Drosophila melanogaster: one gene and its partners. The protein of the gene in region 1 interacts with the protein of each later gene in a pairwise test. Each region holds a gene or a part of one and is shown in the gene's direction. Other genes may lie near its edges. The genes, in order: PCNA, Gadd45, Set8 and dap.

Region 1 (6,123 bases):
GGCCGCATATTGCTGCACATACTTCGTGGGCAGTTCGTAAGTCACGTAAATGCTGAACTCGTTGTGCAGCTTGATGTCAGGAAAACGGATTTGCAGAAAGTTCGTCACCTCCGCCACAATGCACGTGTCCATCTTGGTGCAGATCAGCAGATAAGATGAGCCCGTACCCGCGATCTGGGTGAGAAAGCCCGTGGTGCCGTATCCGATCACCTGGGCATCGCACAGGACCACAATCTGATCCGCAACCACCTCGGCCTCGTTCATGTTGTGCGTGGCCATGATGATGCAGCGACCCTTGCGTTCCCGCCTCAGCAGGTCCCACATGTTGCTGCGCATTGCAGGATCCATGCTGGTGCCGGGCTCGTCCAACAGGAGTATCTGCAATACAGGAACTTTACACTAAAGGCCACAAGGATAGGGATAGTACCTTGGAGTTTCCGCACAGATTGCAGCACAGCATGAGCATACGCTTAATACCGCTCGGCAGATTCTTCACCTTGGTATTGGCAAAGTCCTGCAAGCGGCCGATCTCCAGATACTTGTCCGTCTCGGCAGAGGCCTCCTGCCGGTTCAGTCCCTTGAGGCGGCAGTAGAACTGGAGGTGCCATCGTGCGTTAACCTTCTCGAACAGCACATTGGGCTGCGGACAAATGCACATGGATTGCCGGGCTTTCCTCTGATTGGTGGCCAAGTCATAGCCGTTGATGGTGATTTCGCCGGCGCTGGGCCTTAAGAAACCGGCTAGCAGCATTAAGATTGTCGACTTGCCCGAATCGTTGTGGCCAAGAAATACGGTGATCTCGTCTTGGTAAAAGTTCAGATTGAGATCTTTAACTGCAATCCATTCGTTGAAGACCTTTTCAATGTTCCTGGCCCGCACAATTAAGGGATGGCCTCTGATGCCCGTCTCCTGCCCTTCGACATCGAAGTCATCGGATCGAGGTCGCCTATTCCATCGACACCAAAAGGAAGGCTGGACCGGAAAATACCACTTTCTATTTTGATAACTCCTCAGCTGTTCCATGTAAGCCAGCACCAGTATGCGCAACAGGCAGCCAAACAGCATGAAAAGGAGGATGGGGCCCAGGTGCACAAATTCATCCCAATCGGTGCGCTCAAAGAGATATGTCCAGTGCAAGCCCAAACGAAGGTTTTCGCTCTTAATGAACTGCTGCAGTCCCATGGCCAACGAGCTGTTCAGGAACAAGCAGACGAATATGGTGCGCGGCAAAGTGGGAACATAGCCCATGAGCAATAGGCGCCATGGCAGGCAGCCAATCAGGTGCACGATCACTATGGCCACTTGCACGCCGACCGTGTCCGAGAAAAAGGACGAAATCATGAAGGCCGACGTGAGGACCTCTAAATTGTAGACCAGCAGAAAGAACAGCACCAGCGACGAATCACTCAGCGAAAAGTAACGCCACTTCAGCAAGAGAACCATGAATACGGTGGGAATGGACAGGAGCAGGAAGGCCACCAGAAACCAGGACAACCAGTATATCCATGCCCTCACACCCATGAGTTCCAGCATGTCCCTCAAATGATCGCGCCTTTCCATCACAATCATCTAAAAATACCATTAAGCTATCATATATGAAAGTTTCTAACTTAGTGCATACTTGGGCAAGATATGCGGCGGATATGGTGACGGGCAGGAAGAGAACTCCGCCCAAAGCTACCCTATTATCCAATCTGTCCACTTCCGCGACATCGGGATAGTGCTGCAGGATTACTTCCGGCAGGACGACGGCTTCGTTTTTGGCCCTGATCAACGCCTCGCTGAGCTTGGCTTGCACAACCAAAAATCCCTCCACCTGATAGTAATCAACGTCCATTTTGGAGTGCTTCAAGATTGAAGTGTTGTCCCAAACCATCTTGGGATTCTTGCGTAGGTGAAGCGGAAAACGCAGGCCCACCGTGACATTAATCGGAAGCTCATTTATGTCGCTGAAGCTGTCATCAAACTCAATGCCCACGTAGCCATATGTATCCTTTCCTATCAGCGCTTTATTCAATTCAGATGCGCTGGCAAAGGCCTTACTGCCAACGGCCTTCAGATCGTGAACCACATCCTCGATGACAGCAGCCAAGACTAGATTCTCAGGTGAGTAGTAAATGTACCTGGTTGGTTCATGTGGTGTTGTCAGGGTGGCCTGGACTATTGTGGCAATCGGCTTATACATACGGCACTTTGGTTGTGATGTTGACGGGCGGGTACTTCACCGACGTCTCCTCTTGCGGCTCTCGGAACAAAGCCGTCGCCGCATAAACGAGGAAGACTACGATGGGCCCCACAATGATGATCACGCTGGTTAGCGTATTGGAGAACTGGAAGCGGGCCGTCTTGCATATGACCAGCCACAGCAGGCATATGCTGCTCTGCGTCTTCACCGGCGATTCACCACTGGACATATTCGTACAATTTAGATGACGCCAACACGTAAACAGATTAGAAATATAACAAACTTCACGTATACTCCGCACTAAAACGTTCCGGCTTCCGTGTTTTCTTTTATTTTGTGGTTGATGTGAAAATTAAAGTCGAATCGGAAATCCGTTCCGGCAGGGAACGCTGCTAAGCTTACTTCTTCTTGGACACACCCACGGTGCGACCACGACGACCGGTGGTCTTGGTGTGCTGGCCACGCACACGGAGGCCCCAGTAGTGACGCAGACCACGGTGGGAGCGGATCTTCTTCAGACGCTCCAGATCGTCACGCAGCTTCGAGTCCAAGTTGGAGGAGGTCAGCTGCCAGTACTTGCCATCGATGATGTCCTTCTGCCTGTTGAGGAACCAGTTGGGCACCTTGTACTGCAGAGGGTTCGAGATGATGGTCACCACCTTGTCGACCTGCAAACATGGCATTTAGGTTGGTGTGCGTCTCGAACGGATTGGGCGTGCTCAACTTACCTCCTCCTCGGTGCACTCACCGGCGCGCTTGGTAAGATCGACATCGGCCTTCTTCAGCACAATGTTGGAGTAGCGGCGACCCACTCCCTTGATGGCGGTCATGGCGATGCCAACCTTGCGCTTGCCGTCGATGTTCGTATTCATGATACGCAGGATGTGCTGGAACTTCTCTGGGATGACGAGCGACTGCAAGAATGCAAAGAAAAAACATTAGTATAATGCATATAAACCACGCCATTTTTGCCAACAGCTAACGGCATTTGCAATTCACTATAAATTTGTCGTTTGGCGCTCAGAATCGCACATATTTGAGGTAACTCACCATTTTGCCGTTTGTATTCTCGTATTTACTCCTCACTGTAAAGAATTAAGAGGTATTTTGTTTTAGAATTTTGGAAAAATCAAATGGGCAGCACACCACTCACCGGAAACGGGAAAAGAAAAGAAGGCCGAATTAATGTGGCTGCCTGAGGCGGAGTAAAAAACCTAAAATTGCCTGCCACGTTCGGGACGCGTGCTGTTAATAGTTCGCCGTGTGCTGTTAGGCGCACTCTGGTCCATCACTAATGCAAATTTAAAAATTCAAAAGGCGCCGAACTTTTGTTCAATGAAAATGCTTAAAGTGCCATTTAGATATGCTCTGTGTGCACATTTAAAAAATTAAACTTCATATTTTATGTTTCTTTATATTTTATATTTTATTCCCCACATTTCGTAATACGTTTTATCGTACTGCATCCCTAGAGCACCGTTATATGAAAGCTTTTCAGAATGGGTGAAATAAATGGTAAATTATATTAGCTATGCGAATTTCCAATATTGATAAAAATGCATTGCATTTAAGCACTCAGCTGCGTTGGACAGGACGATGTCGTTTCCCTGCGCATCGTGTGCACCATGGCTCGCGACGGCAAGCAGCACAACCTCGAGGATGTGGACATGTACGGGAATACCGCCCTATTGAAGGCCTGCTATTTGGGTCGATTTGAGTGCGCTCGTACGCTGCTGGAATTCGGTGCAAATATCTTTGCTATGAACTATTTTGGTCAAAATGCCCTGACACTGGCCACTTATGCTGGGCATTTGACTTTAGTAAAGGAACTGTTGAGGCGAAGATCCTACAAGGATTTCAATCTGTCCTCGATGATCCCGGCCCTCTGTGTGGCTACACTGCAAAAACACTCCGCTTTGGTGGCCTATTTTACTCAATTGGATTCGAGGGGCGTGCAAGAAACTCAAACAGTGCATGGTTAGTAAAAATCAAGTGTATTTATATAGTAACATTAAAGTAAATTTATTTCAGGTCTGGGAGTTGCAGAGCTGCGAGGAATGATTAAAGCTGCAGGCCGCTTAGATAAGCGCAATGTGCGCTCTCCTCCCACTTTTATTAGCAATCGTCTGCGTTAATGTATTGTCATTTTGTAATAATTTATTAATTTTAATGTTTGAAATAAATATACTCTGTAAAAAGTGTGAACATAATATGTTAATCAAACCAGTTGGCAGGCCGCTCGCTGGCTGCTATCGATAGATTCAGTCGATATCGCCCGTGGCTTTTCACATCCCTATCCCGCTCATTTAGCCCGCCTGAAAGTAAAAAAAAAAAACAGCCCACGTTAATCATTCATCCCAAAGTCACAGCCGCGGTAACATTACTGCTGTTAAATTCTTAAGCCCGTCATCAGTATTTAAATAATAAAACACATTCAATATGTTCGAGGCACGCCTGGGTCAAGCCACCATCCTGAAGAAGATCTTGGATGCCATCAAGGATCTGCTCAATGAGGCAACCTTCGATTGCAGCGACTCCGGCATTCAGGTAAAAATTGCACAAAAAAGATTTTAAATGCATATCCCTAACACCTTGTTCAACTTACAGCTACAGGCCATGGACAACTCCCATGTGTCGCTTGTCTCGCTGACCCTGCGTTCCGATGGCTTCGACAAGTTTCGCTGCGACCGCAATCTCTCCATGGGCATGAATCTGGGCAGCATGGCCAAGATTCTGAAATGCGCCAACAACGAGGACAATGTGACGATGAAGGCGCAGGATAACGCCGACACTGTCACCATCATGTTCGAATCGGCTAACCAGGAGAAGGTATCGGACTACGAGATGAAACTGATGAACCTCGACCAGGAGCACCTGGGCATACCGGAGACAGACTTCTCGTGCGTGGTCCGCATGCCGGCCATGGAGTTCGCTCGCATCTGCCGCGATCTGGCGCAGTTCAGCGAATCCGTTGTGATCTGCTGCACCAAGGAGGGCGTCAAGTTCTCGGCCAGCGGCGATGTGGGCACCGCCAACATTAAGCTAGCCCAAACCGGCTCTGTCGACAAGGAGGAGGAGGCGGTGATCATCGAGATGCAGGAGCCGGTGACGCTGACATTTGCCTGTCGCTACCTGAACGCCTTCACAAAGGCGACGCCATTGTCCACCCAAGTGCAGCTGTCGATGTGCGCAGATGTTCCGCTGGTAGTCGAGTATGCGATCAAGGATCTGGGTCACATTCGCTACTACCTGGCACCCAAGATCGAGGACAACGAGACATAAGTCAGCTGTGTTCCTCATATTTATGTCCCCGCATCGTCACCACTCATCTTCCCACGTTCACTTCATTCCTAACTTTTAAGTAAATCCGCATTTTTTGATCAATAAAAGCTATACTGTGTAATGTTAACTGGCTGAGTTGTACAATTGATTTTAGGGCGTAATAACCATTTATTCGCATTCCATATATAACACTGGGTATCGTTTAAGGAGAGAGAGATTGCAAACATATACATATTAAGAGTAGTGGTTTATCAAACACCTTGGCGTGGGATAGACAAAAAACCTTGGCATATCTCCGACATTGAAGTTTGTTAGCCTCCGCAGCTGCAGAAAATCTGGACATACCATTGGGGAGTTCTAAATCAAGGGTAATAATGGGCGATTATTCTATTCACTGTGTATAAGTACTCGTTCCGTATGAGGCACATAGTCGGGAGTTTTGCAACAAAGAGCTTTAAGCGAGTGTGTGCCTGCATTCAAGAGCATTAATCGTATGTAAATACATGTAATAAATAATGCGTGTTTACACGCTTCCAATACTTGCATACTTGGCTTGCTTATGCTAGAAGCTACATACATACGTATCCTATACTTAGTTTGTGAGTATATAAAACATAGAAAGCTGTGTCATATAAAATTGTATAAAAAAAACCTT
Region 2 (6,250 bases), about 13 Mb from region 1:
GAGCTCTAGTAACAACTCTTTAAAAAGTAGAGAACCTTACAATTGGAATATATAACGAAATACACACATTTTGCGGAAATGTTATGGCTTTCTTTCAGTTTCAGCTTTGTTTGCCCTCCTTTTTTTTTAATTTCACCAGGTTCTCAAAACAAGTTTACCATCGTGCAAAGAATTCAGCCCTGCAAGTGATGTACATCTGCCCACCAGCGAGCAGCTGAATCATTTCGCCATTATTCGAAAGGCGCTGCCAAATGTTTCGCAATATTATTTAATGCGAGACAAGACCTAATTATTTGGAAAGAACGTTGCTCGCTCAGATAACCGAAACTCCCTTGCCAAAAGCCCCACGATAAATAAGAGAATACATTATGGTATCTGGTTTGGAGTGGGAAAAACCACGCATCGAAAAAATAAACTGCACTGCATTGGGGGTTTTTCGCAGAGAACTCTTTTGGAAACTGGGTTTTCCCTGCAGCCAATCGCAGCCAAATGGGAAATCCCCCAGCATAGCCGCACTGCATACAAAATTGCACCTTGGAGACCTCCACGCCGGCGCGAGATATCTCGTTTTCCAGCGTGATGCTGGTGCACGTGAGGATTCGGGCGGCATTCATCGGCCATTCATGGTGGCTTGGTGACCGGTTGCAGGTACTCAGACTTGCGGACTTTGGACCGGCCTAAAATGGAATGCCGATAGCCGAATGCCGAATGTGGGGGAACTCTTCAAAAACCAGTTCCCACTCTCTTTTGACTCTTTGACTCATTTGGCTCTTCGCTTGGCATTTGGGTTTCGGTTTGGGTTTGGGCCCAGTTTAGTGCTGCGCCGGCGTGACTCAGCAGTGGGGCAACCGCCGGCGAAGTGCCTCCGATCCATGCCCGATCACTCCGTGGGCTCCACGATTCTCCCTCGAAATAAGCCAGCAATGAAATCCATCCAATGTGGTGGCTTCACATGTGATGGGCGCATGTTGCACACACAACTGGGTGGCATGGCACACAAAAGCAACGGGCAGAGGTGCCATTGAAGTCCCACGCAAAAGGCTAAAAATATCTGAATTCCTTGGGTTCGATTGTGACGTGCGGATCAAGCTGGATGAAGAACCAAAACTTCTAATCCGCACGTTCGCCGCAGCAATAGAAAATGCTGTAGTGGTGCCCTTTATGCACTTGTGACAACTCGAATTCCGCGCTGGAATGACAAGGCAATAGTTTTATTTTCTGTCACTGCAAATGCGTATTTAAGTAATAGATATGCATATTTGTTATAAAACAAGCTAAAATGGTACTCACTAGTATGATTATCTTGAAAAATATCACATGGGGTTAGAAACGGTAAAATAAGCAATTTTTAAGTACTACGATTAGTATAATTTGCGTATATGCGTATAATTTTTATGAATGGGTCAATTATTAAGCATAACAAATATAAAATATGCTTTTTATAATGATATTTTCATAATTACAAGTATTGGGCGAACAGATGACCAATGATGTCTGTCCGGTTTTAGCTAGAAAACCCCCAAAATGCCACTGCATTTCCGCGGTTCATTGGCCACTTTCGAGGCGAATTTGGCGCGCAAATTCGTAGCTGAGTCGGCGATTTCCAACTTTCAGCACTTCCGCGGCTGATCCACTTACTACAGGTATGCCCCTCATAAGCACGACAGTTGTTTATGTTTTCGGGTCTAAATACATGCATAGGTCAGTAATTCGAATCACCCTACTCTTAATCATAGTAGTATGTTATTGAAAGACCAGAAGCTTCTTCAAATTGCATGCACATATATATGTACATATTTACATACATATGTTATTGTTATGATCATGGGCTGACTATCAGCTTGGTTGGGTTGAGTTAAACATATCACCTGCCCAGATGCACAGATGAAAACAAGTGATCTTAACCTAAATATAACCCTTCTTATTTTGCCTTCTTTAGGGTTGTATACTTTTCATAGCTTTTTACTTTTTTTGTCGTAAATCTTGCTGAATTACATGCTGCAGCTGCCCAGGAATTGTTTTCAATTCTACGCTGCACGCTCAGCAGTTTGTTCAACTCCAAAAAACCAAAACACATGTATGTATGTATGTACATACATATGTAGGCATCGATTTTCAGGTGCTATTTATAGCCTTAACAAAACCTGCGAACCTATGCTGATTCGGCGATTAAAGTAATAATTAATTACTAAAGTGCACGGCCAGCGGTAGTTGAACCCCTTAGGAGAAGCGAGCTGGAAATTCCGCCGGATGGCGTAGTTCTCGGGTTCAATTGATAAAACTCAGTGGCGATCTCGACTGGCGATTCCGACACGTTCCCACGTGCCGAATGTGCAGCGCGGAGGGGGGGAATTTAAAATTGGAATGCCGCGATAAATTGATTAGCAACTCCCTTTGTGTTTGGACATGCGATTCTGTTTGTCCGGCCGTCTGGCCAAATGCAAAAAGAATAAGATCGTGCGAAGCCTGGCCAGAAATAAAATTCGGGTTAACTTGGGTAAGTAAGGTCATTCGTTAATCATACGCCTAGTATACGCGAGTTGCGCATACGTCGCGTTGGTCGCCGAGATGCGACACACTTGGACCTGTTGCTCGCCATCAGCCATCAGGTATTAGTGGTCCATTCACGGGGTTCTGGCGAAATGTATGTACTAAATTTAAGAAAACCGTTCAAGTGAAATTTATTTACGAATTTTTGTTCGAATTTTGATGAGCAAATTGCGATTTACTCAAAGCATGTTCGCACACGATTTTTTCGCGCGAAAGATAATGAAAGCGAAGCTCTTACTTAAGGGAGACACTTTCCCTGCCTTTGCGAGTGGGAGAGCCGAGTTTCCGGGGGAGCCAAGTTTCCTGACCCCATTTGGAGCGTCCAAAACTGCAGATTGCAGTTTGGGTGTGATGGAAAGAAACCCCCAATCTGCTAATTGCCGCGACATCAACGGAAATCTTTCGGATCCCAAAAAAAGTAATGAAAAAACCCGATTTGGCTGAAAGAGCGCAAGAGCGGGAGAGCGAGCCCCCCTAAAAAGCTCTCGCTCTCGCATTTCTGATGAAATTCAGTGGAATTCTCAGGCGGCGGAGAGCGCGGCTATAAAAGCGTTCGCTCGCCAACCGAAAGCATTCATTGTGAAATTGCCACTCAAAATTGAAACAGCGCGGACAAACGGTTGAAGAAACACAAAGCCCAGTGCGAAAAGAATTTCATAAGCAAAAGTTAATCGGGTGCTAAACAAAAACACTCGAAAGCAAAGCAAAGCATAGCAAAAGCAACAACAAACAGTGCCAGCTGAAAGTGCCCAAAAAGTGGAAGCCAACGGCTCGAAAATAACACAAAACCCAAAGCAAACGCACAACCAAACGGATAACACCCACAATATGGTCGTCGAGGAGAACTGCAGCATGCACCACCTGGAGCGCGAACTGGACCTGGAGCTAGAGATCGATATGGCCATGGAGTGTGCCCCCATCGGACGCACCATCAAGTCGGCCCTTCTAAGGGCCCAGAGCGAGGCGCGTGTGATCGTGGGCCTGTCCGCCGCCATCAACGTGCTCTCCAAGTCGCCGGAGGGATCCCTCTTCTGCCTGATGGCCCAGCCCAAGGACGGCGACTCTGCCACCCACATGCACGAGGTACTGCTGGAGGCCTTTTGCTACGAGAACGACATCTACGTGATCAAGGTGGACGACGCCACCAAGCTGAGCCGCATCCTCGGCCAGGACTCCGTCGAGTCGTGCTGCCTGGTCCAGAAGGTCTGGGCCGACGCCCCCGAGGAGCAGCTGACCAAGGCCGAGAACCAGCTAGTCGACTACTGCGAGGCCCACTGGGACGCCCCCCAGCAGCCCATTGTCCAGCTGCCGGCTGTGTAGGCGCGTGTGAGCGGGACAGCCAGATGTCACAGAATTGAATGGCCCCGCACAGTGGGCGCAAGCAAACTCTAATGGAAACCAGTTGCTGGGGGTTGATGGCCCCGAACGTCTTGGAGAGTTCCCGAGGGAATCCGACGTTTCGTGGCGCTGCCAGAAGCCCACCGGCACATGTACACCTACATAGGATATATAGAATACGACATATGTATATACCCTAACCTGCTGTATTCAGGAAGCAGGAGAGGGAGGAGGGGAGCAGAGATGGATAAGCCGGCGCCTTGGCGGATAATTGAAACTGAAAGGCGACCTTCGAGGCGGCAGTAACTGCAGCTGAGATACCCGCGGAAGTCGCGCACAGATACTCACGCACACAGCCAAGGAGCAGCATCACACACAAGCGCGTGACCAGCTGCCGAACCAACAAAACATATGTGCACATATGTACACAGAACCATACATAAATATAGCCAATTTGTTTCTGTATAATTTTCGCTTTAAGCGTCGCGCAAATTTACTGATAATGACAATTATTCTGTACGCCGTAAATTGTAAATTATACTTAAAAGGAGAGCAGCCAATTGCATGTATACCATTAAAGTTTTGTTATGTTAGCTTTTCCAAAAAAAAAACATCAGATGAAAGCACACAAAAAAATGTTATCTAACTTAAGCACAAAAAGAAAATTGAAAAAGGTTTGAAAAAAACTGATAAAAAATGAAAAATAAAAATCTTGTATAAAAACCAAACTTTCTTCGTCTTGTTTTTTGCCCATCCCTTTCAGCACTCTCTTCCAGCAATCCAAACTGACGTCAATGGGTACAAATCCCTTGGATTTGGATCGGGAGGCCGCCCGACTCATCAATCTTTGCATAACTGCCGGGGTTTCCCCATCGAGCGTGCCTTGCATATAGGGCCCCATCGGACGCCTTATCAATGAATTCTCGGAACCCAGTGGAATGGAAAACACGCGTGAGCGCCGAAATCGGGGCCATCCATCTGGGGGAGACTGGGAGAAGCCCTCGGCTCGAAGTATGCAGTTTTATCAACTTAGATAATGGGTGCGAGAATAGTCAGTTTGCCTAGTTAATTGTTCCCATCACTGATCAGTGGGAAAGTCAATTAGAAGTATGGGTCATGCTTATAGGGGGAAAAAAGTAAAGCACCGTGGAGCACTTGAGTTAATCAGAGTCAATGGGCGTTATAAAAATCGTACTGGGATATTTACGATCCAATGAACGAGACAATTTCATACGAGACCCACTTTGTTTCATTTGCGAACACGCTCGCGATCATGCCAATTGACTTGGCCAACCAGACAGATGTTGAGCATCGAGACACGTTAATGTAATCAATGCCAGACATCGCGCTATGTTGGCCTAATGGATGGATGGACCGGACAGCAGAGACAATAAATAGATAGCCCATCGCACGGAGGAGCTGCCATGCGAGCAGCTCGTGCCGTGGGAAAATCACTGGGAAGAGTTTGCCACTGATTAGGACCATTAGCATGGATCCATGTGGCCAAGACATAGGTCAGTTCGGCGGATCGTCTGGACACGACGCGATGCGATCGGGCGGAGATAATTTGGAACAGTTTAGCGCCTGTTCCAGTCAAATTTTCCGTCTTTCCGAAACAAGACTTTAAAATGTGGTTAGTTATGGCCTTAACGTGATAATCATAATCATCCTCTAGTAGAACTCTGTTTGGAGTAGCAATTCATTATGTATTGCCAAGTCATCGGTTAGCACAATTACATAATATTGAGCAACTTATTCGTTTTTTTCAGATCGATATACTTCAATTGCATACTTCGATATTTATTGTTCCACTTTAGAGAATATTGTTTGATTAGCTTGTCCATTGCACAATTGGATAACTGCATCGGTTCGAGGCGGTTTCAGATTGCCTATGCCCTTCTAATTATCACTTCTCCTATTGTCTCAGTGCATTTCAGCGACCTGGTGCGACATCCAATTGGGTTAATTGCCGGGTGTTCGGCAAAATCCAAGTGATCTGTTAGCGCTACTTACACAAGCCATCCCCACTTAATCATCGCCGCGTGTACTTTACCCCGATCCAGCGAAACGAGCGTGAATTCCAAAGAACGACCAGAGTGCTCAATGCCAATTCCGATTCGGCCAAGTCACTGCGAGTTGGGTAACGAGCCATGCGGCCATTGACTGGCCAATTGAAGCTTTGGCTTTGGCTTTGGCTTGGGGCCAAGCTTTCCCCGCCAGCTGGACAACTGGAAAAGGGGAAGTTTGGACCCGAGACCAGACTCATGCAAACATGATCATCTGCGAGCGTGACTTGGCGGATTCCCGGGGGCGGACGGAGTGCAAGCTTCAGAGATTCGCCTCTACCGGCGACGTCGTCGAA
Region 3 (9,428 bases), on another chromosome or scaffold:
CTGCACTGGTGGGCACCTTCATTGGCACTGCCATCTTGAGCAAGCTACTCAAGGTCTCCGACTCCATGATTGGCATGCTCTCCGCCCTGTCCATTGTCTGTTCCCGCGTCCTTTTCGTAAGTTTTTAGATTCTAGTTGGAATTCAGTGGTATATATGCATAGTTTTTGAATTCCTGCAGGCCTTCTCCAGCAGCACTGCCTCATTTTACGTTGCTGGTGTGGTGGACATGTTCGTCAGTCTGCGAGTGATTGCCATCAAGACCATCGGTTCGAGCATTGTGGCTGGCGACGAGCTGAGTAAGTTTACTAAGGTCAACGCTATAGTCTCGACTATAAGATACCGGTTAGTCAGACGAGAGAGATTGATATTCAGATAGCAGAATTTGAATGCTTTGGAATGCAGTTGAAATGTGGTTGCGTCTAATTAGTAAATACACTTTCGGGCTAAGCTACTTTTAGAGTGGATTTTATTTTTTTAAATAAATAATAATAACTAAATAATTTTCAGGCAAAATGTACTCCATCTTTGGCATCAGTGAGCCAATTGCCCAATTCATTTTCCCGCCAATCTTCAGTGAGATTTACAAGAGCACGGTGGATTCATTCCCAGGTGCCATTTGGCTCTTTGGCGAAATCTTCTACATTCCCAATGTCTTGGTCTTCGTGTAAGTTATTTAAGGTTTTCATAAGTTAACTCTAAATTTATAAATGATTTTTTTTTTTAATTCTAGTGTGTGCTACTTCCTGCTGCGGCGTCGAAAGGCCAACGAGGAGAAGAGCGTCGTGGAAATGGAGCAGAATGGTGGAGCAAATGGTGGCAATCGGGCAAGCGTGGTGCCCGATAGCGAAATAACTAGTCTGTAACGTACTTAATGCCAGTCCGTGTTATATATATATTTTTATATATTTATAATATAAATTGTATATTTTTTGTATATTTATAGGGAATTTTTATAGCATTTTATATTACCAACGAGTTGATCTTTAACTTTCATTTGCTGAAAGTGTGAGTTTAAAGTTAGTAAGCATATTAAAAACAGTTGTAACTAGTCCACATATAACTTAATTAAAGTCGTTGCTATTTTTGGCCGAGTCCATTTGCAAATCCATTTACCTGAGGTCATCCAAGTCTAATTTGGACATTTTACTCCCCTTTTGGAGTGGGAAGAAAATTACTTTTTCGGCTCAAGCATTTTATTTTAAGCCTTTTGCCTTTTGCCTTTTGCCACCCACTTTCGGATTTTGCCCGGGAAAAGTGGTAGTTTTCCAATCAGCAAATGCATTCAGTTTGAGCAGCCAGCTGTCGTTGGTACAAGGGGCGGTGGCGGCAGCTGGGGGCGTGGCCACATGTGGGCGCTAACTGCCAAGTTGAAACAATTGGGTGCTAATAATCCCCGGTTAATCTGGGTAAGTGTGTGTTTCTGGAGGGCATTGAAGCAAGGATTCTGGAGGAAAACGCAGACACATCACGCATCCTTTGGCATCAATCCTTAATGGCTATCTAACAACGATATAAAAGCCCGTCGAGGAGCATCAATAGTTCAGACGCAGTTGTGATTCGAACGCGAAAGGAACCAACCGAGATTACCGAGTGTCCTGCAAACAGGACTAACTTCTGCCGAAACATGTTGCGCCTCCTGCTGCTGCCCCTCTTCCTCTTCACGCTCTCCATGTGCATGGGCCAGACCTTCCAGTACTCCCGCGGATGGACCAACGGCAAGAGGTCCTTTAACGCCGCATCTCCCCTCCTGGCCAACGGCCATCTCCATCGGGCCAGCGAGCTGGGACTCACGGATCTCTACGATTTGCAGGATTGGAGCAGCGATCGTAGGCTCGAGCGGTAAGTTTCATCGAAAGAATAACAGAAATATACAACTTTATTTTTAAAATACATAAAGAATATGATAACCCAAAAACATTCCATTAGATACCTATTAAAATCATATAACTAAGGAATTATATATTATAATTGCCCTACTTATACACTTCATTCCTACTTATTTTCTTGTTTTTTATGTATTAAAGTAATATTTTAAAATTTTCCTCCAGCTGTCTATCGCAGCTCCAACGTTCACTGATTGCCAGAAACTGTGTCCCCGGTTCGGACTTCAATGCCAACCGAGTAGATCCGGATCCCGAAAACAGCGCCCATCCCAGACTGAGCAACTCTAATGGCGAGAATGTTTTGTACTCAAGTGCCAATATCCCCAACAGACATCGCCAGTCCAACGAACTCCTAGAAGAGCTGAGTGCCGCTGGAGGAGCATCCGCCGAACCCAATGTGTTTGGAAAACATTAGCCACTATCCGTTCAATGTGAAATCTATTGTAAACTAGCAAAAAATGCTACAAAAATGTAAAAAAAATTGTTGTAAACGGTTAATAAAACACAGGATTTTTATGAATTACTTAACTGTCTTTTTTTAATATCCAAGAAGAGTATTTTAAATATTTAAATAGTGTAAATAATAGAGTTGTTTCAGATACCATTTACATGAGGTCATTAGAAAATGTATGTAATAAATCCAAAACCTTCGTCTTTTTCTAATGGTACCATTAGACCACTTAGATATAAATAATTCATATTTAGTCAAATTGATTTAACATATCTTTTTCAACTTAATACTTTAGTACTGCCCAACACAGCTTTAAAACATGCTGAAAATATGAAAATATACTGAATTTGGTATTACAAAATGAGGCCGCATACACGAGAGGTGAAAGCAGATGCGCAATCTGGTAACACTAACCGACGCAAAAAAGAAAGAACCAAAAAAGTTTGCGGAAAAGTGCAACAATTAATTTCCCCCGCCATTGAAATGCTGCCATGCATAAAGTCGATCGCATCCGTTTAAAAATGCGCTTCTGCGTATGACGACAGTTTTCCGAGCGAGGTGCATTGCGGGGACTCACATTATTTTCCCTCTTTTTTTCCCTTCTTTTGGTCTTCTTCCTCTTTCGCTCGCTTCGCACAACAACAATAACGACTACGTTTTTTCAGTGGCGAAAACTGTACGCAAGAGGGGCGAGTAGAGGAGAAAAGTGCATGGCAGAGAGCGAGAGTAAGAGAGGTAGAAAAGGAGGAAAAAAAAACACACATGTAATGTGCAATTGTTTTATGAGTTCTACGTTAATTTTGTTGTTTGTTTTTTTTCGGTTACCTTCAGGTAATTGCAGTTTGGTTTTTCCGCGTGTGCGTGTGAGAGGTAAAACGCGTGTCCAGAAAAAAACGCGCCAACGCCAAAAAAAAACCCAAGTAACTACCGCCCACACAGCGATCACGCGCCCCCAACCCATTTTAAATGATAATGGTGCGAAGACGACAACGGCCCGCCAAGGAAGCCGCATCCTCATCCTCTGGTGGAGCTTCCTCGGGATCGGGAATTCCTGTTGACCAGGCACTGCCACTGAATGTGGCGGGAAATCTGCTGGAGGATCAGTATTTTGCCAGCCCCAAGCGGAAAGACTGCCGTTTGATGAAGGTCACTCAAAATGGCCAACTGCCGGAAGCCACAATGATGGCACACAACAAAGACAACAAAGCGGGTCGCACAATAGGTGAGTACGCTTCTCGTACTTTTTAGGTTAGCTGTGTTGGCTAAAATACCCCTTGTTTGTTATTTTTCAAGGAGTTCCCTTGGCCACGCGCTCACAAACTCGCACCATTGAGAACTTCTTCAAAGCCAATGCTGCCGCTAAGGATTCCCAAAAGACAATACACACAGAGGAGCAGTTGAATCTAGGAAATCAGGAACTGAAACTGGACGATGAGGAGCTAAATGGACAGATAAAACTAGATGACGAGGTGCTAAAGCTGGCAGACAAGCAGATAAATGAAAACCTTCCCTTTGCCGACGAAGTAGATGCCAAGGCAGAACAAAAGCTTATGGATGAGGAACTGCAGCAGGTGGTGGAGGAACTTCTGTTCGATGGCAGTTCCAGAGCGTCCTCCAATTCGCCCTTTTATCAGCATGATATGGATGTCATGCAGGAGATCCAGCAGACTCCAGAAATTCCACACATCAAAAAGGTCACAGAGCCGCTCGAGGGACTGGGCTCTCTGGCCGACTTCCAGACACATCGCTCTGCGCTGAGGGACAGCCACAGTTCCACGCACAGCAGCAGCACCGACAACATCTTCCTGCAGGAGCCGGTACTGACCCTGGACATTGATCGCACGCCCACCAAAGCCTCCAGCATAAAGATCAATCGGAGCTTCGAACTGGCCGGAGCCGTATTCTCATCACCTCCGTCGGTGCTAAACGCCTGTCTCAATGGACGCTTCAATCAAATAGTAAGCCTGAATGGACAAAAGGAGGCGCTGGACTTGCCGCACTTCGATTTGGATCAACATGACAGTAGTTCTTGCGACAGCGGAGTAGCCTGTGGTCTCACTGCCAATACAGAATCGCCAGCGGGGCAACCCCGACGCAGAAAACCAGCCACACCGCATCGCATCCTCTGCCCCTCGCCAATCAAAACGGCTTTGAAGGTAACTGGAGGGATTTGCAAGGTCGGATCTGCGGATCCATTGTCGCCGCGCAAGTCTCCTCGAAAACTGCCGACCACAACAGCAGCGGTGGCAGCCTGCAAGTCGCGTCGAAGACTGAACCAGCCAAAGCCACAAGCGCCTTACCAGCCACAGCTACAGAAACCACCGTCACAACAGCAGCAGCAGCAGCAGGATGATATCGTCGTGGTGCTAGACGACGACGATGATGAAGGAGATGACGAGGACGACGTTCGAGCCCTGATCAAGGCTGCCGAGGAGCGTGAAAACCAGAACAAAGCACCAGCCACAGCGAACAGCAACAAAGCAGGCATGAAAACGATGCTCAAGCCTGCGCCCGTGAAATCAAAGACCAAAAGCAAGGGGCCAACGAAGGGACAACCGCCGCTGCCCTTGGCTGCCACCAACGGCAATCGTGAGATGACGGACTTCTTCCCGGTGCGAAGGAGTGTGCGCAAGACTAAGACGGCCGTCAAGGAGGAATGGATGCGAGGCTTGGAGCAAGCAGTGCTGGAAGAGCGCTGCGATGGTCTCCAAGTACGCCACTTTATGGGCAAGGGAAGAGGCGTAGTCGCCGATCGGCCCTTTAAACGCAACGAATTTGTGGTTGAGTATGTGGGAGATCTCATATCTATAGGCGAAGCCGCGGAACGGGAGAAACGCTATGCGTTGGACGAGAATGCTGGGTGCTATATGTACTACTTCAAGCACAAGTCCCAGCAGTACTGCATCGATGCAACCGTTGACACCGGCAAGCTGGGGCGCCTCATCAATCACTCGCGGGCTGGTAACCTAATGACCAAAGTAGTACTTATCAAACAGCGGCCGCATCTCGTACTCCTGGCCAAGGACGACATCGAGCCGGGCGAGGAACTGACCTATGACTACGGGGACCGATCGAAGGAGTCACTATTGCACCATCCTTGGTTGGCCTTCTGAGGAAGAGCTCTCCAGGAGCTCGCGAAAGGGGTTGCGGTACAGCCTTAAAACGAAGACTATTTACCATGTTCAGGGCAGAGAATCTTTAAAATAATAAGACCTGGGCTAAACTGGTTTTTGGCTCGAGGGAATCTTTCTTAGCTTTTATACGTAGATTGCCTTGCCTTGAACCACTGCAAAATTGTTTTCAGACCTGTTTCCGTGTGATAAGTTGCCGGAATTTGATTCATTTACAAAGTTTCATTAAGCAAAATTATATCAATATTGCAAGCACTTATATTTTTGGTAAGACCAATTCAATCATTACGAATTCCGGCAATTTGGATCGGAATGGAGAGAGGCGTATTTGACACCGGTTCTGGGCAGCCCCGAGCTTAGATCTTATTTGAGGAAAAGTATATAAACTGTTAGTTCAAAATATCATAACGGATAGCGAAACCCACACGCCCCACACCCAAGGGTGGTTCCAGCCAGGGACGAAAAGTAATCAATGTAAATTCTAACAAGTTTGCCTCAGAAATAGGTCTAATGTCAATTTCGATCTTCGGCGTTACCAAAATAAGTTACAAATGAAGTTAATATTTCCCTTTGGGTCAGTGAAATAATCGAAATTATCAATTAAGAACAAATTTATCAAAAAGACCTAGACTATACAGATTGTAAATTGATATTAGACCCATGATCCCCAAAGCAAAATGCCTTTAAATTGTACGATTACGATTCAATCCCTATAAGACTCATTATCGATCCACCCGTGATCCAAGCAACCCCCCCCTCCCCCTCCCTCCTTACACAAACTCATGAGCATCTTTTTGGATTTGTTAGCGTTTCATTATGTTTAGAGCAAGGCTAAAGTTAAGGAGAGATAATAATGATAATAATAATAATAAAAACAACGCGCTTAAGCATTAAGGCATCTTAAGATAATTGAATGAAATCGAAAAACTGTTGACCATTTGAAAAGAGATGATGATGTTGATGAAGCCACGCATTCACATTGACAAGAATCGATTGTACACTATTTATATAGATATTTATATTAGATACATGTGTAATTTCTAACTATTACGTACTATTTACTGCCATAGAGCTATACACTCCCCCTCGCACCTGTCCCAAAAAAAAAAAAAAAACCCCTAGGAACTGACACTACTGAATTGTTGATTTAACCCATTGACACACTCATTAATTCTCGAGGCTTCTCCAGGAGAGTAGTGGCCTGCTGGACACCTAGTGCTTCGACTTACTGATAATCTCTCTACTTACACGCAGGTTTCAATCACACACTCAAGCAATTAAATGATAAATCACCCCGCCCCTGCCCCCGAAAATACGGCATCGTTAGTTAATCGACTTAGTTCAAATTTGTGTTGTCCCATTTGAACCAGATTTCTGTATTTTAAATGAATGCTCCAATATATTGAAGGATTTTGTTTTTTTAAATAGGTTTATTTTAATCAGCGCATATCTTTTAATTATACAATATGGTAAATATATTTTAATACGTTCTAGTACATAGGTAATTCATTTATTTAAAACCAAGCAGCAACCATCTATAATCATGTTCTTGTTTTTACCTTTTTTTTTCATTGACTTGGCAAAATGAAACAAAACAAATTGAAATCTATTTGTAATTTACATTTAAGCCTAAAAACATATGATTACATCAAACACTTAGTTTTAGTCGATAATTGTTTATAATTTTTCAGACACACACACACACAGACACATTCAACTTAAAGTGCGTAACATAAAGTAAAATAAATAAATGAAAACACATTAACACGAACAAAACAATAATCAAGAACTGGAGCGGATTGGGTTTCGTTTTCCAGCGATTACCTGGAGATCATCATGGCAACCAGTCACACTCATTTACACTTGGAATGCATGGGAGTTCTTCTATCAACTAACAAATCCTATTTCATATACAACACGTTAACTATGTTTGCTTGGTTAGTTCGCTTTCCTGTCGCTTGTTATAAGTACACAATATAGAAAAAATTCGCATCAGGCGGGTTGGGTTTTCATCCATGTGGTGGTGGTGGCCCGCAATCGCATTGGAGTATTTGTTATGGATATACAAAAGGGGAAGTTCGCCGCTAGTGGAATGCATTTGTAGGCTTTGCCGCAGGGATTAACTGATGATATTCCTCAGATAGGCGGAGTTTTCCGATTTAGGGTTCTAACTTTGGGGTTGATTAAAGCTAAAATCATCATGGAACTAATAGTTTTACATTTTTAAAAGTAATGCCGATTTTTTCCTTACTTGGGATACTTCCGAAATCCTTGTTATTAATTTGTATCTTTTCTTTTTTGGTCATCTATGATAAATCTTATGTTGTTATATTGATATGACCGCATAGAGATATTGCATGCTATCGGATGCATAAGCTTAAACCTTAAAATCTCGCAGGATTTCAGAAATATCCCTTAAATTACATAATTTCACTGGTGTGCGGTATTCTTTTTCGTTTTACTTTACAATTCTTCTAGAGTTTTTTGACTTATTTACCCAATAATTCGAATTCTAAAAGTATATCCGATCATTTAAATAATATTAGATAAAAACAAAGAATTTTTCAAGCATACTAACAGTTTTTTCGCTCTACAAAATATTATTTTTCAAAAGTATAATTTTTTTCGTCAAATTAAGTAAAACATAAATTTAGAATCAAACTATAGCACAAAATGGTTACTTGTTTGTTTCGTTCTAAATCCTGATTTTTACGCCTAAGACTACAACATGCATGCACAACAACAACAACAATTATGCCAACGACAAGGTTAACAACAACGACAACAACATGGAACACAGCTTGCCTCAAAACTACAATGTGTGACGGTTCGGATTATGGTGAATATCAGACGGATTCATAATACTGACTGGCTACCCGGGTGCGCGATCGATCCTTTCGCCTATGTGAGGATGGTGGCCTCGCCGCCACCCAGTGGGCGAGGAGCGCCCACATGCGGACGCTGCTGCTGCTGCTGGAGCCGCCCACCGCCCACCCTCAGCTTCTTGTGTCATTTCTTGCCACCGAAAGTGGGTTTCGGTAGCGCACCCATGAACGCACCAGCATTTGTGGGCAAGGCCGGTGCAACGAAGCTGAGATCGGGGATCAGGGAGATGCGTGGAGCCACCTTGGCGTTGCCGATTTGGAACTGCTGCCGCTGATGCTGCTGCTGGTAGGTGGCACCCACACCCAATCCTCCAGACACGGGTGCAGTCGAGAAGTCGTGCATGATGTGTATTTGCTGTGGAATGGCTGGCACATTGTTGTTATTGCTGCTGCTGGTGCTGCCCTTGGGCACTAGATTGCTATGAGGCTGTTGCTGCAGCTGCTGCTGCGCCTGGTACAAACTCAAGGGATTGTTGTAGAAATTAGCGCTCTGCCACGCACCGGAATTGAATTGTGGAGCCGGTCGTGCTGGCGGAGTACTGCTCACAAAATCCGACCAATCATCTTCTTTGGGAGCAGCTGGTTTCCTAGCGTTGCTGTTGACTATATTATTGTTGTTAGCAATTGCGTTTTGCTGATGATGCGGTTGCTGTTGGGTGACTGGAACAGAGACAAAGTCCGACCATTCATCGTCTTCTTGAGGCTGAGACTGAGCTGGCGTGGAAGGAGCTGGTTTCTTGGCCACCGAAGCGCTTATGGTGAGCGGTTTGGCCTGCGAGGAGAACAACTCCTCTATCCTGGCCATTTCCTCGGCATTTATGCTAGACAGAGCATTGTCGCCCCATTCAATAGTTGCAGCTGGCTTCTTTGCCAGCGGAATGGCTTGGGGCAGCAGAATAGCCGGACTAAGGATCATCTGTTCGCCAAAAGTGGGTGTATCAATTCGAGACCTTGGCGCCGGCATAGATTGAAAATCACTAAAGTCGTCATCTTCCGTCGTCTGTGGTGGCAACTGAAAGCTGCTGGCAGCTCCATTGCCACTCAGTTTGCTGGGCGAATCCAGACCAAATGGGGGTT
Region 4 (8,995 bases), about 11 Mb from region 1:
TTTGTAACACTTGGAGAAGATCGTTTGGGTTGTTTTTGGTGTTTTGATGGGGATCGCTACGACTGTGGCTGAGATATATAAATGGCTTTGCTGCTCAGATGGTCATTAGTGCAATTAATCCCTGGGTCCTAACTCGAGTTATCCCAAAAAAGTTTCATATTATTAAAAATCAATTAATAGGTTTCTGGTTTTTCAGGATCCTAACGTAATTTTATGTGTCTACTATAAAAAGTATATATTTCCAATTGGCCCTTTTCTTACCTATTAAAAGTTATTAGTTCTTAGTGAGCCACTCCCACAACAAGTTGGGTTGAACCCCTGAAATGTCCTTAGTCGCAGCACACCTGCCTAGCAAAACTTCCAAAATTGCGGTCACAGTTCCGTGCGCCGAACAGTTTTTATGGTAATTTTCTTACGGAGCCGAGAATGTTTCAAAAAAATATCTTACGCCACTTTCGAGCGTTACTTAGCAGGCCGGTCATGCTCGCTGAGCATTTGCACCCCCACCGGAACACGTGGCGGATCGGACTAGGTTCTTGGCTATGAGTTGCCATATAGAGTGGGATATCTCTGACCTCCTCCTGGGGTGGAATGGGCTGGCTCGATTGTCCGCTGTGTGCTGAGGCGATAAGACGCGTTGCATTCGAAATGAGTGTAACGTATATTTTATACGAGACAAGGCAGGACTGGGCTTTGTTGAGGTTTTAGTAGATACGAGATAATGTTCTACCGACCGCGCGACCTTTGACTAGGAAACACTGATGATATTTGCCTAGCCCTTATCTACTCGGGGGGGGGGGGGGGGGGCCATAGTTGAGTGCATATTAGGGAATTCGGATAAGATCCAATTCGATCCTACCAGCATTAAGGACTGCAATCAAGTGAATACCTTGAGTGCCATCCAATGCCCGCACGTTCCACGACAATCCTTTAGGATCTGCCCTCATAAGCGGGACACTTGAGAACCGCTTTTCCACCTCTTTTCTCAGCCTTTTTTTTTTTTGTTTTTCCGCGTGTGTTGACACAACCCATATAAAGCCAGGATATCCTGCTCGGGAGGAAATTACTTAAAGGGATCACGAACTCTTCCCCTTTCGAAAAACTCCTTCTTGAGTTGTTTATGTTTTCAGGCATGACTGCCGCCGAACGCCAGTAGAATTCTCAAATTTGTTATAAAGTGTGTAAATTCACGTTGCTTTTCTTTTTGAGGGAGGGTGTGTCCCATAAACAGAAAACCGAACCACAAGGGATCGGATCTTATGGGAGTGGAAAGGAACGAATTATGGATGGATGATGATGCTGCCTAATCGAACGTTCGTCAAACGATCTCTGCCTTTTTTGGGGTGATTGCACTCCGTTTTTTCTTGTTTTTTTTTTTCTCGGGTTTTTGTGTGGAAAGCCGATGGGTTTTCCCATTATTTCGTCGAGTGCAAAGGACAAAGCAAATGATGTCTTTAGTCTACGAATCTGACTTCCAAGGCTTTGTCCCAATTCTTTCCTTCTTATTTAATTGGATTTGTTCAAACAATATAAATCTCGTTTTATTGCCTTTGGTAGTGTAATTTAATTTTTTACGATTTTGCACACGAAAGGAAAAAAACTTTATGAAAATGCAGCACGAAATGAGCAGAAAACTTGCGTTTCACAAAGTGAACCATAACGGAAATTTGAAATACCCAGTGCTATGCAAACACCACAAGGAAATTCGAACTAGACGTGCACATTATTTTACATACATACATACATACATCGTACAAATGTATATTTGGTGGACCAGTGCCCCACAATGCAAGCGCGATTTTCCCCTTGGCAACACGAGGAAAGTGAAAAGAATTGGTGCCCCAAATGCCCCCTGCCACTTCCCTCCGACGACTAAAAATCCAGTTTGAGGCCAAACAAACCAAAACCATAACATCGTTTTTTCGTATCTTCCCATCGCAATCGCAACTAAAAGTACAGCTCCACCGATGCAACAACAACCAAGAAGGCAGCGAACAGAACACACGGATGGAAATGGCAGGGATGGGTAGATGGCGTGCGAGAGAGTGGGAGACATATGGTGAGAGAGAGAGAGGTTGTGGAAGTTGTGACGACTTTCTTGATACGCTCTATGAAGGAACCTTGGACAGTTTAAAATATAATTAAATTGGTTATTTCAAAAACATTAAAAATAAAATCTGGTTGAATACTGTTTACAAATGAACTATGGGCTTATGAGCTGTGAATATTATTTGACAGGAAATAATGAAAATAATGATAATAATAATAATAATAATAATAATGAATACGTATTATATATTGTACTATATGATGATTCCAACAATCAATAATTATATTAAAGCTCATAATATCAAAACTTTTAAACTCAGATGCCTTAGTTAAATTTTGTTAGGAAACTTTTATTTTTCTGAGTATTTTTTATACGTTTGCTATATAAGTTTAAAGAACAATTCAAAGGAAGTGCATTGCTCTTTCGATATGATTAACATTAAAAGCGCATTCTTTTTCCCTATCTCTTTCGCTCCTGCTGCTTTTCCGATCTTTTCGAATTCGAGGGTTGCTACAGAGAGAGCGTGAACCGCTCTGAATTTCCAGTTGGCAACGCCTCTGGTGGTTGTTTGACGTTTGCTTTTGCCCAGTGTTTTATTTATCTTTTATTCGTTTCTCCGAGTTCGTCGAGAGAGGTTCGCTTCGATCGGTAGCGCTATATTTAAAAATCTAGTGCGCAGTGCGCTCATAGCCGAAAAGGTTAACAAACATCGCTGTAAAAACGACTTCAAGTTGTAAAGACAAATATAATACAAAGGTGCTGCCATTGGCAGCTAACTCATACAAAAACTCCAACGAGACCCGCAAACGTTTCGTTTTGTGAGTCGACTAGCAGTGCAGTGTGTTCGAATCGCCATTCAAAGATAGTGACCAAGTGCTATTGGACCAAGGCATTTGTTTATAATTATTTTTATAAACAATTGCAGCGTGAAATTTCACTTTTGAACGCAGCAAGACGTAAAATAAGCTGCAGCACAACGCACACACAGAACACTCGCTCTCCCTCTCACATACACACACGCTCGCGTGTGGAGACCGTGATTTGTATTCGTGTGGAGACTGCCTCTCTCTCTTTTGGGGCTGTCTGAACACAAAGTTTTGGCGCCAAAAGTTTGACAGTTCGCTTTGGCGTGTAATTCGCAAACAAGTGGCAAGAAAAGTGCGTCTCAAAACAGAGTAGAAAACACTAGGGGATCCCAAAAAAATATATATTGACTCAACATGGTCAGTGCCCGAGTCCTGAATCCTGTGATGATCAGTGAGTTCTGCAAGATGAGCAGCAGCCCGGCGGTGAGTCGCAATCTGGCATGCGGTCGTCAGTTGAATCGCATAAAGCGTGACCTCTTCGGTAGCTCCAAATCCGCCGAGGGTACAGCCAACAAAACGTGAGTTTCTATAATAACAGTTGGATTTTGACCAATAGCTAACAATATATCCTCTTTAGACCCTTTAATTCCGAACTGGAGCGCCATCAAGAACTGGCCACGCAAAAATGGGGCTTTGACTTCCGCGCCGGCTGCCCTTTAGCTGAAAAATCACCCTACATTTGGGAGCGCGTCAGCTTCCAGGAGTCGAGCTTCGCCCCAGAGATGTACACCCTAACACGGGCCGCCCACGTACGCCCTTCCGCGGATGCAAGTCCTAGCGACATGGACATTTTGGTCAACGAGCGCTCAGAACGGGAGAACTTTGGCTCCAATCTGGTCAATTCCTCGCTAGAGTCGAACACGGATAATGAATCTTGTTACGACTCCCAGGACGAGTCGCTGGCAATGCGGCTTAGCTCCTCCAGCACGACAAGCACATCCTCCATAGTCCTGCGCAAGAGACAGCCAAAAATCACAGGTGAGTTTTGGGGGATGTTCTACACCATTTTGATCAGTAGAGCTTGACGGTTCCCAGGGTCAGGCTTCATTTCACTTCGATAGACGTTACAAAGTGTTTTCCCATAGCTTTCCTTTTATTCCCTGTTTATTTTCGGTTCTCAGGAGGAAGTTGAGGGTGTTTTTTTTTTTTTTTTAACTTATCAGGCTTGTTTTGTAATCGGACTGATACGATATTATTTTTCAAAATTATCTGTAGAGTAGAGAGTATTATCTAAAAATTTCCGAATATAGTGCTCGAGATATAAAAGTAGATTCGTGCTCTTTGTTTTGCAAACTCGATGAAAACGATTTTCATCAATGATTTTATGCCAAACCAATATTTTGTGCAGGATTTTGTACTTACAATACTAAACTCCATAAGGGGTTGTTTGATTGGTTTTAAGTCCACTCCTTCGCATTTATTGTTTATATTCACGTTTTAGTTGTGGGCGTTTTTCGTGAAACTTAGACCCAAATTATAGCAATTAGCCAATGCTTTGTGGGAGATTTATTTTCGTCCAGAAGGGTAAGTCAAAGCTGACTGCAGCTGTTTCAGCTCCTCATCTCCCTAAACCGAATGATTCTCTTCTGATCCTCCACAACGCGGGGGTTGGTTTCCAGATCGATAGCATGCGGGCTGGCTGGCTGCATCTATAAATGCCAACAGCTGTGACTCCGCTTTGTCTATGGCCTGACCTCATTATAGAAAACGGGAGAGGGGTCTGGGGATCGGCTTTCAATGCACCACCATCCAGAGTCCATGGTCTTATCAAACCTCCCTTTGATTGCTTTGTACTGAGCGTTTTTTATAAATGCCACTAGCACATGCATGTGTAATTATAATCATAAAAAAATTGTGTCTGTTCGGAACATAATAAATGCACCCGCATCGGGTGGTCAGTAGGGAAGCCTTTGAATCCCCCAACGCCTCAACTCGCTTTACTTAAAGTGCACTTTTTGCTGCTTTGGCCAGTAAGCTAGAGCTCATAATTTATGCAGTTATGTAGCACCACCACTCTTGCTTTCACCGGACTACCTGAAAACCGGCTAAAGACCGACTGTCTGGCTGCCGTCTGGCATTTATTTGCTACCCCTGTGCGGATCTGCAACCCTCTGGTAGGGAAGTGCTGCCGTCCACGTGCCACAATCTGGGAATCTACCCGAAACCGAAATCAAAATGTGCAAAAACAGAAAAACAGGCGGCGCCTGCTGTTTAGGGATCAGTGACTTGTGAACAGGGGCAACCGGAAATGCAGCAGCTGACTTTGATTTGGCAATTCCACCTAACACGTATTAATAACACTCGTTTTCCTTCCTTTGTTTACAGAATTCATGAAGGAGCGCAAACGTCTGGCCCAGGCACCCAAGAAACTATCGCCCGCAAAGCGCATGCGCACCAGTTCTCCCAGTTCGTCCGCCACTTCCAGCTCCAGCTCCAGCGGTGGATTTGGGTTGGGGGCACACTTTGGGGCGATGTTGAAGCGGCCGCGCCACAACTAATGCTCCAGATTCGCTGGCCAACCCACCGAATTGCAATTTGTAATTTTATTTTTTACAAGCCACTGCGATTGTGTAGTATTTCCTAATTTTTTATTACGAACCTTTTTATGCAGTGCAAGGGCGACAGTTGCGAATATTAATCGTTAGTCTTCAACTACTCGTAACCAGTAATTAGTTGTAAGTCAACCAGTAAGCTCGAGCTAAATGAAACTTTTTAGATTTCTCTAGTGAGAAATGCCATAAACTAAGTGATTAGTTCTTAACAACAAACAACTATTGAACAAGAAGAGAGAGACCGCAAGCTAAATGGAATTAGTCTTAACTATCTTGAAGCCAACCGAAATTTAACCTTTATAACGATGGAATACTAACTTTACATAACTTTGTGAAATCCTTGCAAATTTCGCCGGCAACTTTTGCATTTGAAATTTGCCGGGTGAACAAAACTCATCCTTTCTCTGCCCTGCCACTTCATCCAAGTACTGAAACTGAGGGGAGAGTAGAATTGAGTTTTGTCTTGCATATTAAGGGCGCCAAAACGATGCCCCAATAAGCCGCATTTCGGCTCATTGCTGCTTTGTTTTTGCGACCTACTAACATTGTAACCAATTCGACCAGTGGAAAACAAAAAAAAAAAAGAGGAATGCCTTTGAATTAACTTCGTCAATTTCTGCACGTTTGGATGCCTTATTTATATGAATGCCGCCGAATGGACACAAATTGTCGCGCTCTCATTTCTTAACCAGTGCTAAAAATGTCTTTTATGATTTGCTATGATCTCTGGGCAAATTATGAAAACAATTTTGCCTGAAACTATCATGTACAAAAACTAGATTATTATACATACTATACACATAGGCAGAGCCTATTCTTCATAACACTTATACAAAGCATTAATTTGTAAGGCCTAACTAAGAACAAATCCAAAGTATTCTCCTAATATTTATATGTATAGACACTCTATGTATAATTAAACCATATTCAACTCATACATCAATAAACAAAACAAAAACAACGCGATTGTCCTGTTTCAAAATTACCAACACATCCGCATTACTTTGGTTGTAGACGTAGCAGTAAAATGTAGTTTACTAAAACAATTTTGTACATTTTATAAGTTAATATTTGTTTTTCTGCAATAAATTGTTTTTGATTTTCTAGTTGGTAGTACATAAATCGCGTTTTTAATTTTTAATTTCATTTTTATAAAATATCGTGGGATGCCAACAAAATTCAATCCCGCGTCAATAGAAACGAATCATTGCTTCAGTTTTATTCAATAAATTAATTTGATTTATTGCTTACATCAAGTACATAAATATTAATTTGTTCCATTCGACGCTTTGTAGATTTACCTATGTGCCAATTAGTTGATCTGTACTCTACATACAAATATATATATCGCATATATACAGAGGGCTGTGGATATGGGCACCTACTTGCCCGCCGCCTTCTCCTCCAGCTGGGCTTGAATGTGGCGTACGTTGTGGCCGCCGCCATTGGGGTTGTGGCGCTGGAAGAAGGCGTTGATGGAGCTCATGGAGCGGTACTCCAGATTGTCGCTGACCCGCCAGTCCACGCTGATGCTCTGGTGACGACCCACCGGATTGCGGATGCGGGTCTCGTTGTATTTCTCCAACAAATGCAGCAGGCAATCCTTGGTGGTGTTGGCCGCCTCCTCCAGATTCACGGTTTGATGAGTGTCCGGCAGCCCAACGGGCACATCGCGACTCATCTGATTTATCCTGAACTTGGCTCGACGACTGCTGGCCGATTCGTTGCTGGCGCTGGTGGTAATTGGATTGCTGGCGCCGGTGGAGCTTGGGTTGCTGGCGCTGGTCGAGATTGAGTTGCTGGCGTTGGAGGCTATATAATTGCTGGAGCTGGTGTTACTGCTTCTGGTGCTGCTGGAGATCACCTTGGAAGAGGTGGTGCTGGTTCTTTGTACTTGCTGGTTGGTGAAGCTCCTGGCATTGGAACTGCTCATGGTTTGCACCGTGGACTTTCGCTGCGACTGGACCAGGGATTTGCTAGAGGAGCTATTTCCGTTGCTTAGCTTGGGTGTTTCCTCGATGGACTGCTGCAATCTCACAGACAGCGAACTGATCTTCGTCTTGCCCTTTCCGTCATCGTAGGTGCTTTGGCTCTGGGAACTGCTGCTGGCCTGGCTGAAGAGTCCTCCTTTCAAAGTGGGACGATTCCAGCTACTGCTCGAAGTGGTTTTGCTGGTCCACCTATTGCCTTCCTGGCTGATCTCCGAGGTTTTACTAGAAGTACTGCCAGAAGGAGCAACAGATGCTGGAGCAGTTGAGGTTGGCACAGGAGCAGCAGCAGCAGCAGCAGCAGCAGGAGGATCAGCAGGCGCTCCACTGCTGCTCCCGTTATTGTTCGCATCCCCAAGCTTGGTGTTGATCTCGGCCAGCATGAGCAGGTGATCGGATAGCTTTCGTATCTCATCCGCCAGATTCACCCGCTCTCCGGAACTCCGCCGACCCAGCAGGTACGTGGTATCCGAGTTCCTTCGATCGAAGGTGTGCAGATAGCTCTTCATGCTGCGCTGCTGCTGGGCGGTGGACTGGCTGCCAGAGAACTCATCGAAGTTCTCGTTGAAGAGATGCTGCGGCGTGGGAGTTGACGGACTGGAGGTGGCTACCGTCGGGAACAGCTTCTCCCGAGACTCGTTGATGGGCGTGGCCACCGAGCGAGGACTCTCGTTTTCCGCACTGCGGGATTCGTCCTCTTCCGGAAGATCTTCAATATCTCCCCGTTCGTCATCCGTCAAAGTGGATATTGAATCGCAGGGCGAAGGCGAACAAACTGGAAATATAGCACAGACCTATAAGCATTTTTCCATAGAAGTCGTATATGTTTACATAGAAGTTATGGGGTTATTGCCAAAAACTGTTTTCAGACGGGTTAATGTACACAATATGGTTATATACATACGGATCGAGCATGCTCATGAGTTCAGAGAGTTGTGTAATATGGCTCTTTGGAACATCAAAATGTGCGTTTGACTAATGTTCTACACAAAAAAAAGCTATGCGTCAATACAGCTGCTAAAGAAAAGGTTATACAAAATTAATATTTCTCTTACGAATTGAAATATTTATAATTAAATTGTGTTATTAATTCTGATTCAAAAGAAAATTTTACTGAGAATGAGCTATATTCTTTTACATGTGCGTAACTTTTGGATCTAACTTTTAACTTTTTTTTGAAACTTTGATATATATAGTAATTCTTCCTGACGGACAAACCACAAATGAACATGAGACTGACTTTGGAATTTGACTGCGATCTCTGCGGATGATTGGTGTTCTGAGCTGGATGTTGGGCTTACCTGGCTGGCAGACCAGAAACTGTGGCTATACGAGCATGTGTGTTGATCTAAATCTGAACTGGGGATTAGGGTAGTTTCTAGGGGTTTCGGATTTGGGATTGGATGGGATTGGTAAGGAGCGAAATCGATTTGGGTTTCTCATCTCGAAGAAACTACAGAGATGTATCTTTGTGCTAAAGTTAAAATTATATTTTCCATATATTTTCATGTAGTTGTTTTCTTTTTTTTTTCAATGGCT

What was found.
Region 2: the proteins of PCNA (region 1) and Gadd45 interact in a two-hybrid assay, tested with the Drosophila melanogaster proteins (one study listed by BioGRID).
Region 3: the proteins of PCNA (region 1) and Set8 interact in a two-hybrid assay, tested with the Drosophila melanogaster proteins (one study listed by BioGRID).
Region 4: the proteins of PCNA (region 1) and dap interact in a two-hybrid assay, tested with the Drosophila melanogaster proteins (2 studies listed by BioGRID).

The regions. Positions count from the first base shown.
Region 1 is NT_033778.4:20,261,224-20,267,346, reverse strand, and holds PCNA (proliferating cell nuclear antigen), read left to right. Parts: upstream 1-4,463; 5' UTR 4,464-4,625; coding exon 4,626-4,733; intron 4,734-4,793; coding exon 4,794-5,468; 3' UTR 5,469-5,593; downstream 5,594-6,123. Other genes in the region: CG8908 (uncharacterized protein), read right to left, coding at 1-378, 428-1,570, 1,623-2,124, 2,189-2,415; RpS18 (ribosomal protein S18), read right to left, coding at 2,585-2,854, 2,915-3,100, 3,237-3,239; plu (plutonium), read left to right, coding at 3,686-3,701, 3,759-4,163, 4,218-4,321. UniProt on the Drosophila melanogaster protein: Likely to be an auxiliary protein of DNA polymerase delta complex and is probably involved in the control of DNA replication and repair by increasing the polymerase's processibility.
Region 2 is NT_033778.4:7,246,043-7,252,292, forward strand, and holds Gadd45 (growth arrest and DNA damage-inducible 45), read left to right. Parts: upstream 1-3,118; 5' UTR 3,119-3,378; coding exon 3,379-3,870; 3' UTR 3,871-4,613; downstream 4,614-6,250.
Region 3 is NT_033777.3:14,313,311-14,322,738, forward strand, and holds Set8 (SET domain containing 8), read left to right. Parts: upstream 1-2,727; 5' UTR 2,728-2,893; intron 2,894-3,000; 5' UTR 3,001-3,070; intron 3,071-3,166; 5' UTR 3,167-3,301; coding exon 3,302-3,557; intron 3,558-3,628; coding exon 3,629-5,448; 3' UTR 5,449-7,184; downstream 7,185-9,428. Other genes in the region: CG31321 (uncharacterized protein), read left to right, coding at 1-116, 180-297, 509-665, 732-864; Crz (corazonin), read left to right, coding at 1,626-1,840, 2,050-2,299; Afti (aftiphilin), read right to left, coding at 8,476-9,428. UniProt on the Drosophila melanogaster protein: Histone methyltransferase that specifically monomethylates 'Lys-20' of histone H4. H4 'Lys-20' monomethylation is enriched during mitosis and represents a specific tag for epigenetic transcriptional repression.
Region 4 is NT_033778.4:9,709,670-9,718,664, forward strand, and holds dap (dacapo), read left to right. Parts: upstream 1-2,651; 5' UTR 2,652-3,270; coding exon 3,271-3,434; intron 3,435-3,493; coding exon 3,494-3,894; intron 3,895-5,241; coding exon 5,242-5,414; 3' UTR 5,415-6,587; downstream 6,588-8,995. Other genes in the region: sqa (spaghetti-squash activator), read right to left, coding at 6,850-8,231.